Oryza sativa Japonica Group: one gene and its partner. The protein of the gene in region 1 binds, or shares a complex with, the protein of each later gene. Links are inferred from orthologs where the notes say so. Each region holds a gene or a part of one and is shown in the gene's direction. Other genes may lie near its edges.

What was found.
Region 2: chlorophyll(ide) b reductase NOL, chloroplastic (region 1) and red chlorophyll catabolite reductase 1, chloroplastic share a complex: the UniProt entries of both Arabidopsis thaliana proteins name them as parts of the SGR1-CCE-LHCII complex. The link is inferred for Oryza sativa Japonica Group from reciprocal best matches to the Arabidopsis thaliana genes NOL and ACD2.

Annotation. Positions count from the first base shown.
Region 1 is NC_089037.1:26,389,500-26,393,252, reverse strand, and holds the start of chlorophyll(ide) b reductase NOL, chloroplastic, read left to right. Parts: upstream 1-1,457; 5' UTR 1,458-1,579; coding exon 1,580-1,829; intron 1,830-2,422; coding exon 2,423-2,491; intron 2,492-2,925; coding exon 2,926-2,987; intron 2,988-3,122; coding exon 3,123-3,209; intron 3,210-3,490; coding exon 3,491-3,558; intron 3,559-3,656; coding exon 3,657-3,705; intron 3,706-3,753. UniProt on the Arabidopsis thaliana protein: Required for chlorophyll b degradation. Chlorophyll b, chlorophyllide b, pheophorbide b and pheophytin b can be used as substrates. Belongs to the chlorophyll catabolic enzymes (CCEs).
Region 2 is NC_089044.1:13,537,238-13,540,695, reverse strand, and holds red chlorophyll catabolite reductase 1, chloroplastic, read left to right. Parts: upstream 1-922; 5' UTR 923-1,022; coding exon 1,023-1,394; intron 1,395-2,131; coding exon 2,132-2,749; 3' UTR 2,750-2,894; downstream 2,895-3,458. UniProt on the Arabidopsis thaliana protein: Catalyzes the key reaction of chlorophyll catabolism, porphyrin macrocycle cleavage of pheophorbide a (pheide a) to a primary fluorescent catabolite (pFCC).

The DNA of each region.
Region 1 (3,753 bases):
TGGTGTGAATTTCTCAATCCTGTGTGATGTGGTGCTCATGCGTATGAAGTGATTGTCAGGTTGTGTATGCAAAGAGTTTACTGAGGCTGAGGACGAACTTATGCAGATCAAGACAGAATATTATGCTCTGCAAATGCAGTGCACAAGGATACTACAATTAATTTGGTTGGGAGTATATGCGATGTACAGCCAGCATGTGCAAACCAGCAAGCAACGCTCACCGCGAGAGTGGCATGGTGACAGCGACGAACTGATCGAGACTTAATAGTATCACTAGTGCAGAAGCAACGGCAACATATCGATCGTAGTACTACTAATTACTACCAGGACACGTGTAATCACTACCCCAGATGCAACAAGAGAAGGGTGGCGTTTCTTCCCAGTAGCCACATTTTCCCTTTGTCTAACTTATGAATCAAGTATGCACTAACACTACAGTCCATAAATCCCAAGTGTTCCTTACCTGTAAAACTGAAACACCCTGCTCAAAGCCAAGCAACTAACTGAGTTTCTAAGCAGCATAAAAACCGAAGCAAGCAATTAACCCATAATTAATTAATTATTAATTATTATAAATTTGATAAGTTGGTCCATTTGAATCCTTTAGAAAACTTCTATATTTTTTTTTAAAAAAACACTTTTTAACAGTTTGAGAAATGTTCTAACGAAAAACGAGAAAAGTTGAAGTTTAGAGTTAGAGTCTAGAACAAAGCATAATCATCTTACTTTCATCCCCTTCTCATCATGTGTTTCTCATAGGTGTGTAACTATATAGGATCCAATACATTCTTCCCAATTTATAATTATATATGGTTTAGCCCATGTTTTATTCTCAATTCACTCATCCAGTCAATTCCTAATTATATGGTTTAGTCCGTTGCATGTTACTATAAGAAAGGAAAAGAAACTATTATAAAAGGAACTATTGTAAAGCTTCGACTCCAGGTATTCCTAGTCTCCTGGTAGCTGTGGAAGGAACGAAACTCCAGGGTTTTCGACTCTGCGCTCGCTTCGGTCGCAGTGGTTCTGGAGTCCATCCGCTCGGAGGGCCAGCTGTGGTCTTTAGTCGGCGTTGCTTTTTTTGGGGATTTATTGGGAGTGTAGCGTGGCTTTGCCCCCTCCCGCTGTTTGGAATTACGTTTTTAACCGTCGTAGTAGTTCCTAGCTTCAAGTCCCCCCTTTAGGCATAAGCCAATCTGGCTGATTGCTTTGTGTAACAAAAACTCTTTTCCTACTAATATATTGACGTGCAATTCTTTTGCGCGTTCGAAAAAAAAAACTATTGTAAAGCACATGCATATAATAGTTAAAAAAACCTTGCAAAATAGTACTAGTACATACTACTAGTAGTTTAAAAGAGAGAGAGAGAGAAAGGATGATTGCTCACACTGACTTGTGGGCCACCTCCACCTCTTAACATCCGTACTTAACTCGCAGGCCCCCTCCCTTCTAAAATCCTCGCTCGTTAATCGTTATCCAGACTCCGCGACGGCGAGCCGGCAAGGCGAGCACCGCAGTTGACGACGCCTCTCCACTCCGCTCCCCTCCCCTCCCCTCCCCTCGTCTCGCTACCGCCGCAATGGCGGCCACCGCCGCCTACCTCCCGCTCCGTGCCCAGGCGCAGGTGGGCCTGGCTCCGCTCCGGCCGTCGGGCTCGGCCGCTGCTGGGGCGCGGTTGCCCGGCCGGACGGCGCGGCGCCGGCTTGCGGCGAGAGGCGGGCCGGAGGCTGCCGGTATCCGCGCGGAGGCTGTCCCTGGTGGTGGAGGGGTCGCGCGGAGGGCGGCCATGGTGCCCCCGTATAATGTTCTAATCACCGGTTCCACGAAAGGTGTTGTTGAGTTCTCCCCCCCTCGTCGTCGTGTTGCTTCGCATGCTTGATCTTGCTTACAAGAAAGAAGTAGGATGTCTGTGGATGCTTTTTGTTGGGATGCAATTTAGTAGGAGCATATAGGAACTGGTGGTGATCGATATTTCTGAAATTCTGAATGCTTGTGTTGGAAATAATTCAGATGGTCAGGGTGTGGTGTGGTGGCGATGTTGTTTTTTCGTGCCTTATGTAGCCGAGAAGAGAGCAACACCAATTTGGAAGTAGGGGTGGAAGTGGGTAGTGCCGCTACCAGCATAAGAACCTGCTTAATTAGTTCATTTCCTACTTTCTAGTACACAATTTAGAAGACAAAATGAACTAGAACATCAGTGCATTCGGCATTGACCTTTTAATCAAACAATGCAAATCAGCTTGAAACTGTGTGGAGCAATTGCTTTGATACTGTATTGTGGTAAAAAAATATTTAAATCCTGACATATTAGATCTTTTGGTCAATGGTGGTAGAGGTATATCTCCTAAACGCTTCCTTTGTGGAAGCTTGTTTCAAAAACCTTTGTAGTACAACTCAATGACCCTTGTTTGCTCTTAAACAGGTATAGGATATGCTCTGGCAAAGGAATTTTTGAAGGCTGGCGATAATGTTGTAATCTGCTCAAGATCAGGTACAGAAATGATTTTGTGCTTTCAATAGGTAGCGCTAGTTTTAGTAATTATTTTTGAGTGATGACATAAATAAAATTGGATAAATTATCGAGCCTAAGATGCATTGCAAATTGATTTGCATGGTCAAGTCTCGTTTACCTGTTTCTTTATTTTCCTCTCTTCTCATTTGGATGATCCATTGACCTAACACTAAAATATGCACTATCCAGCTTTTGTCATTTGATGCTCATTATCGCTCATTAGGTGCTCTATATAGGGGTCATCTGCTTGATATGACTGACCTGTTAAATTGATCTTTCATGAAATTTTAAAATGAATAAACAAATGGATTGCTAGGATTTTCTTGAGCCCACTTTTAGTGAGAGAATGAAAAAAAAAAAAGCAAACAAGTTACAGTTTAGCCTTTCCTTGACATGCAGTCTATCCTCTACAGCTGAAAGGGTAGAATCTGCGGTGACTGACTTGAAAAAGGAATTTGGAGAGCAACATGTGTGGGTACCTACTTCCTACTGCTGAGCTACTTGATACTTTTACTGCCATTGGAGTCTCCACTTATAATTATGTTTGTTGAAAATTTTACAGTGCAATAATACTTATGCAACTGAACTGCTTCTATTTGTATTATTGCAGGGAATTGTCTGTGATGTTAGGGAAGGAAAGGATGTAAAGGCACTAGTTGATTTTGCACGTGACAAGATGAAGTATATTGATATTTGGGTACATAATCACCCCATCATCATCAAATATCTGCACATGAACTTACTCATGTTTATATTCTTTTCATATGTACAAATATGAAAATCACTGGCTATAAAGTTATGCTGATTCTCACTACATACTCATGAGTGTTCGAAATTTCTCAGCTACCCTTTTTGAATATTTAAACTTCAGTAATTTAATTGAAGCACTCAGTTATGTAGTGTTGAATCTTTTTGGGTAAAATCTAGAACCATAAGAAGGCAGGATTTTCTCCTTATCTTTGTGTTCCTTTGGCACAGATCAACAATGCTGGATCAAATGCATATAGTTACAAACCGTTGGTCGAGACCTCCGACGAGGCTCTCATGTAATTTTCATGCTGTCTTTTTATTTATGGCTTGACCAAATACATTCAATTGTGCTTTCAAGCTATATTCAAACTCCACTCTTTCTTTGATTTAATAGGGAAGTGATCACAACTAACACTCTTGGATTAATGATATGTTGTCGTGAGGTATTTCTTTCAACTCATACTAGCTTTCTGAATTTCATTACAACAACT
Region 2 (3,458 bases), on another chromosome or scaffold:
TGTTTCGAATTCTCCTTCAGTAATATGGCCCCCACAATAATTAGAGGGGGGAAAAAGGAAAATGAAGAGCTAGTGGACTGAGGAAGAAAGCTAGTGTGCAGCATCTGGCCTTTTGTGAGCTTTGGGCCTTGGCCCATGGAGCGATAAGCAGCAACAGCAGTGAGTGATCAGCAGTAGCAGATGGCCTCAAGTGTATTAAGGTTTAGGTGGTGTGTTTAATCTCCTGAAGATAAATATAAAGATGAAGATTAAGTGTTTCACGCAAAACGATGTAGTAATAATATATGATTAATTAAGTTTTAATTATTACAAACTTGAAAAATGGATTAATATGATATTTTAGAACAACTTTCATATAAAAAGTTTTCCCACGAAACGTATCGTTTAGCAGTTTGAAAAACGTGTCACGAGTATCCAAAAGTTTATCCAACTTTTATTGGAGAAAAGAATAGGGCATAAGTATCACCTCGGTTCCCAAGCTTATGCGCTACATGGTGAGCTGCCCAGTCATTAGCATGGTACTTCCTCCGTTTTATATTATAAGATTTTCTAACATTACCCACATTCATATATATGTTAATAAATCTAGATATATATGTGTCTAGATTCATTAACATTTATATGAATATAGGGAATGCTAGAAAGTCTTATAACCTGAAACGGAGGAAGTATAAAAGAAAAAAACCAACTCATGTGGTGTTTGCGAAGGAGGGACTAAACTAGTCATTTTTGTGATTCCCAAATACCACCTCAATTGGCATTATCTCACATTTCAGTAATGCAGTGTCCGTAAAAAAAACAAGGCATTTGCAAATTGCAATAGATAATGTCTTGGAATCTGATGGATTTGTAACAGCAGCTTTCAGATCTCTCTTTCAATCATCTCCTATGTATATACTGCACTAGTTACAAAAGTAAAAGAGGGATAGTTCTACACGTTCACGGAATCCTTCTCACTCCCTCTCGCTCACATTCATCTCTCGCTCCGTTCGTCCACGCGTCGAACACCTCGCCGTGATCCAATGCTCCAACTCCGCTCGCCGCCGCCGGCGACCAGCTCGCCGTCCTCCGCCGTCTCCTTCCCGACCCTCGCTCCTCGCCTCCTCCCCCTCCGCCGCCGCCGCCGCGGCGCGGGTTCCCAGCTCGGGGGCAAAACGTCGAGCGCCGTGCGCGCGTCGTCGGCGGCGGCGCCGGGCGCGACGGAGCCGGAGGTGATGGTGGAGGTGGCGCACCGGGAGGTGGCGCGGGCGCTCGCGTCCCTGGCGGAGGCGCGGCTGGGCGCGCGGCTGCTCCCCTCCGCCGTGCCGCCCGACGTCGCCGAGTTCCGCAGCGGCGGCGGCGCCGGGAACGCCGTGGGCTCGCTCGACGTGCGCCGCGGCGCGCCGGGATCGACGGTAATGGCACCCCTCCTCTCACTTTTGCTCGTCAGATCGTACAGATTTACCTGTTCTGTCGATTGGAGAACATCAGAATCAGTCATATGAATTAGTGAAATGGTAGTGGTAAACTGGTAATGTCTAGAGCACCATCAGAATCAGTCATATGAATTAAGTAGTGAATCATATGAATTAACTAATTAAGTAGTGAAATGGTAGTGGTAAACTGGTAAAAACAGGCTGGCACAAACAGAGCAGAATAGATCAATGGCATGTCAAAAGACTTGGACAATTTACTGAAACTGTTTTACACTGAAAAATTGCTGCCGAACTATTTGTGATTTGCCCTATCAAGGTGAACTTGCAAACTTTTAGAAGCCAAGATCCATAATCCAACTCTTCGGAGCAAATTATGACTTTTCATTATATTGGCAATGCTCAAATTAGTTCATTTGCTTCCAATATCGAAATGGAAACAATTGGTCTGTTCTAGAGTTTGTACCTCATTCGTGATTCTTCCTATCACTCACAGATTTTGTTTCCTCTCCAAAAACAAAAAAACAAAATCACTCCAACTGAACGGACACAATTGGAGTGGCCAAAATGATCAACAGCATTCAAATTATGAAACTAATCTCACCACTTGAACACCTGAATTATGCTCCCTAGTGCTCAGTAGCTTAGCGTGGTAGAATTTCTTGAGTTCTGCAAGGAATGACAAATGGAGTTAAATTATTAATTTTTCTTGTCTACAGATTGATTTCATGCTCCAGTCCTCACTACACTGCAAAGTCCCAAATGGCGCAATCGACATTACATCTCTTCTCATCTTTCTGAACGCCTCGACAGATGCTCCGCATTTCCTCATGGAATTTATACAAGGTAGCCCAACTTCGATCGTGGTGCTTCTGGACCTTCTCCCACGGAAAGACCTTGCGCTCCATCCCGAATACATAGAGAGATACTATGAGAATACTCAGGTGGACAAACAGCGTGAGAAGGTCGAAGAATTGCCGCAGGCCCGTCCATACCGATCGCGATCCCTCTTCGTGCGCAGCACCTTCTCACTGACAGCAATACTGATGAGCATCGACTGTGGGCAAGGAGGAGAGGGTACCTTGGAAGAGATAGTGCGTGGTCAACTAGCAACAGCTGCTAGGGCACTTCTTCAAATTTGGCTTGATAGTTGTGCTGATCATACTTCAGAGATGGAAGAAGGCGAGAGAGAAAACATGATAAAGAGGGACCAAATTGTAAGGTCCAAGTCAATCGAGGTCGACCTGACTTCAAATTTGCCGAGGATGTTTGGTCCCGATGTCGCAGACCGAGTCATAGCTGAAATCCAGAAGGCCTTTGGGGTACAAGAGGCCTAGCTTTAGAACTGTGACCAGGAATTCATCTGTACATCATTCGAAAGTAATGTTAGTAGTCTTTTGTCCCTTTTGCTTGAACAATCAGATATATTGTGTGATTATAAATTTATAATTGCAAATACCATCAGATGTCATAATTTTGTCTATACAATTATACAAACCAATGTAGTGTTGGTTTTCATGCCGATTTTTTACTCTAGCCGTTTCAACCCAAATCTCGGCCTCCTCTAGAGATACATCGATGCCCTCATTAAAAGAAAGTGCCCAAAAAGATAATATAATTTATAAGTACCAGTAAACTGATTTCACGGGTGGTTTCCTCAATTTCTTAAAGAGAAAGGACAGTCAATTATTTTATTTTACAAATGTATTACTAGTTAATGGATAACTTTACATACCGTGTTTACATATTCTCATCCCATTAAAAATTTGCGATGAATCTAACTGCCTAATTTCATAGATCAACGCACCAGTTTATGACAAAATTGAAATGCTATCAATCAGAAATTCACTAACTACCAGCCATACTAATCCTGGCTCCCTACAGCTACTCGCAGCTCTAGAAGCACACATGGCACAAAACATAAACTCCAAGTTTTTTGGAGAGTTGTTTTTGCCTTCTCTTTTCGGTTGAAATACACAATTATTGTATCAAGAATGGAGAGTTCGAACGGCAAAGCCAAAAGGAAAAAATGTAAACAGAAAACAG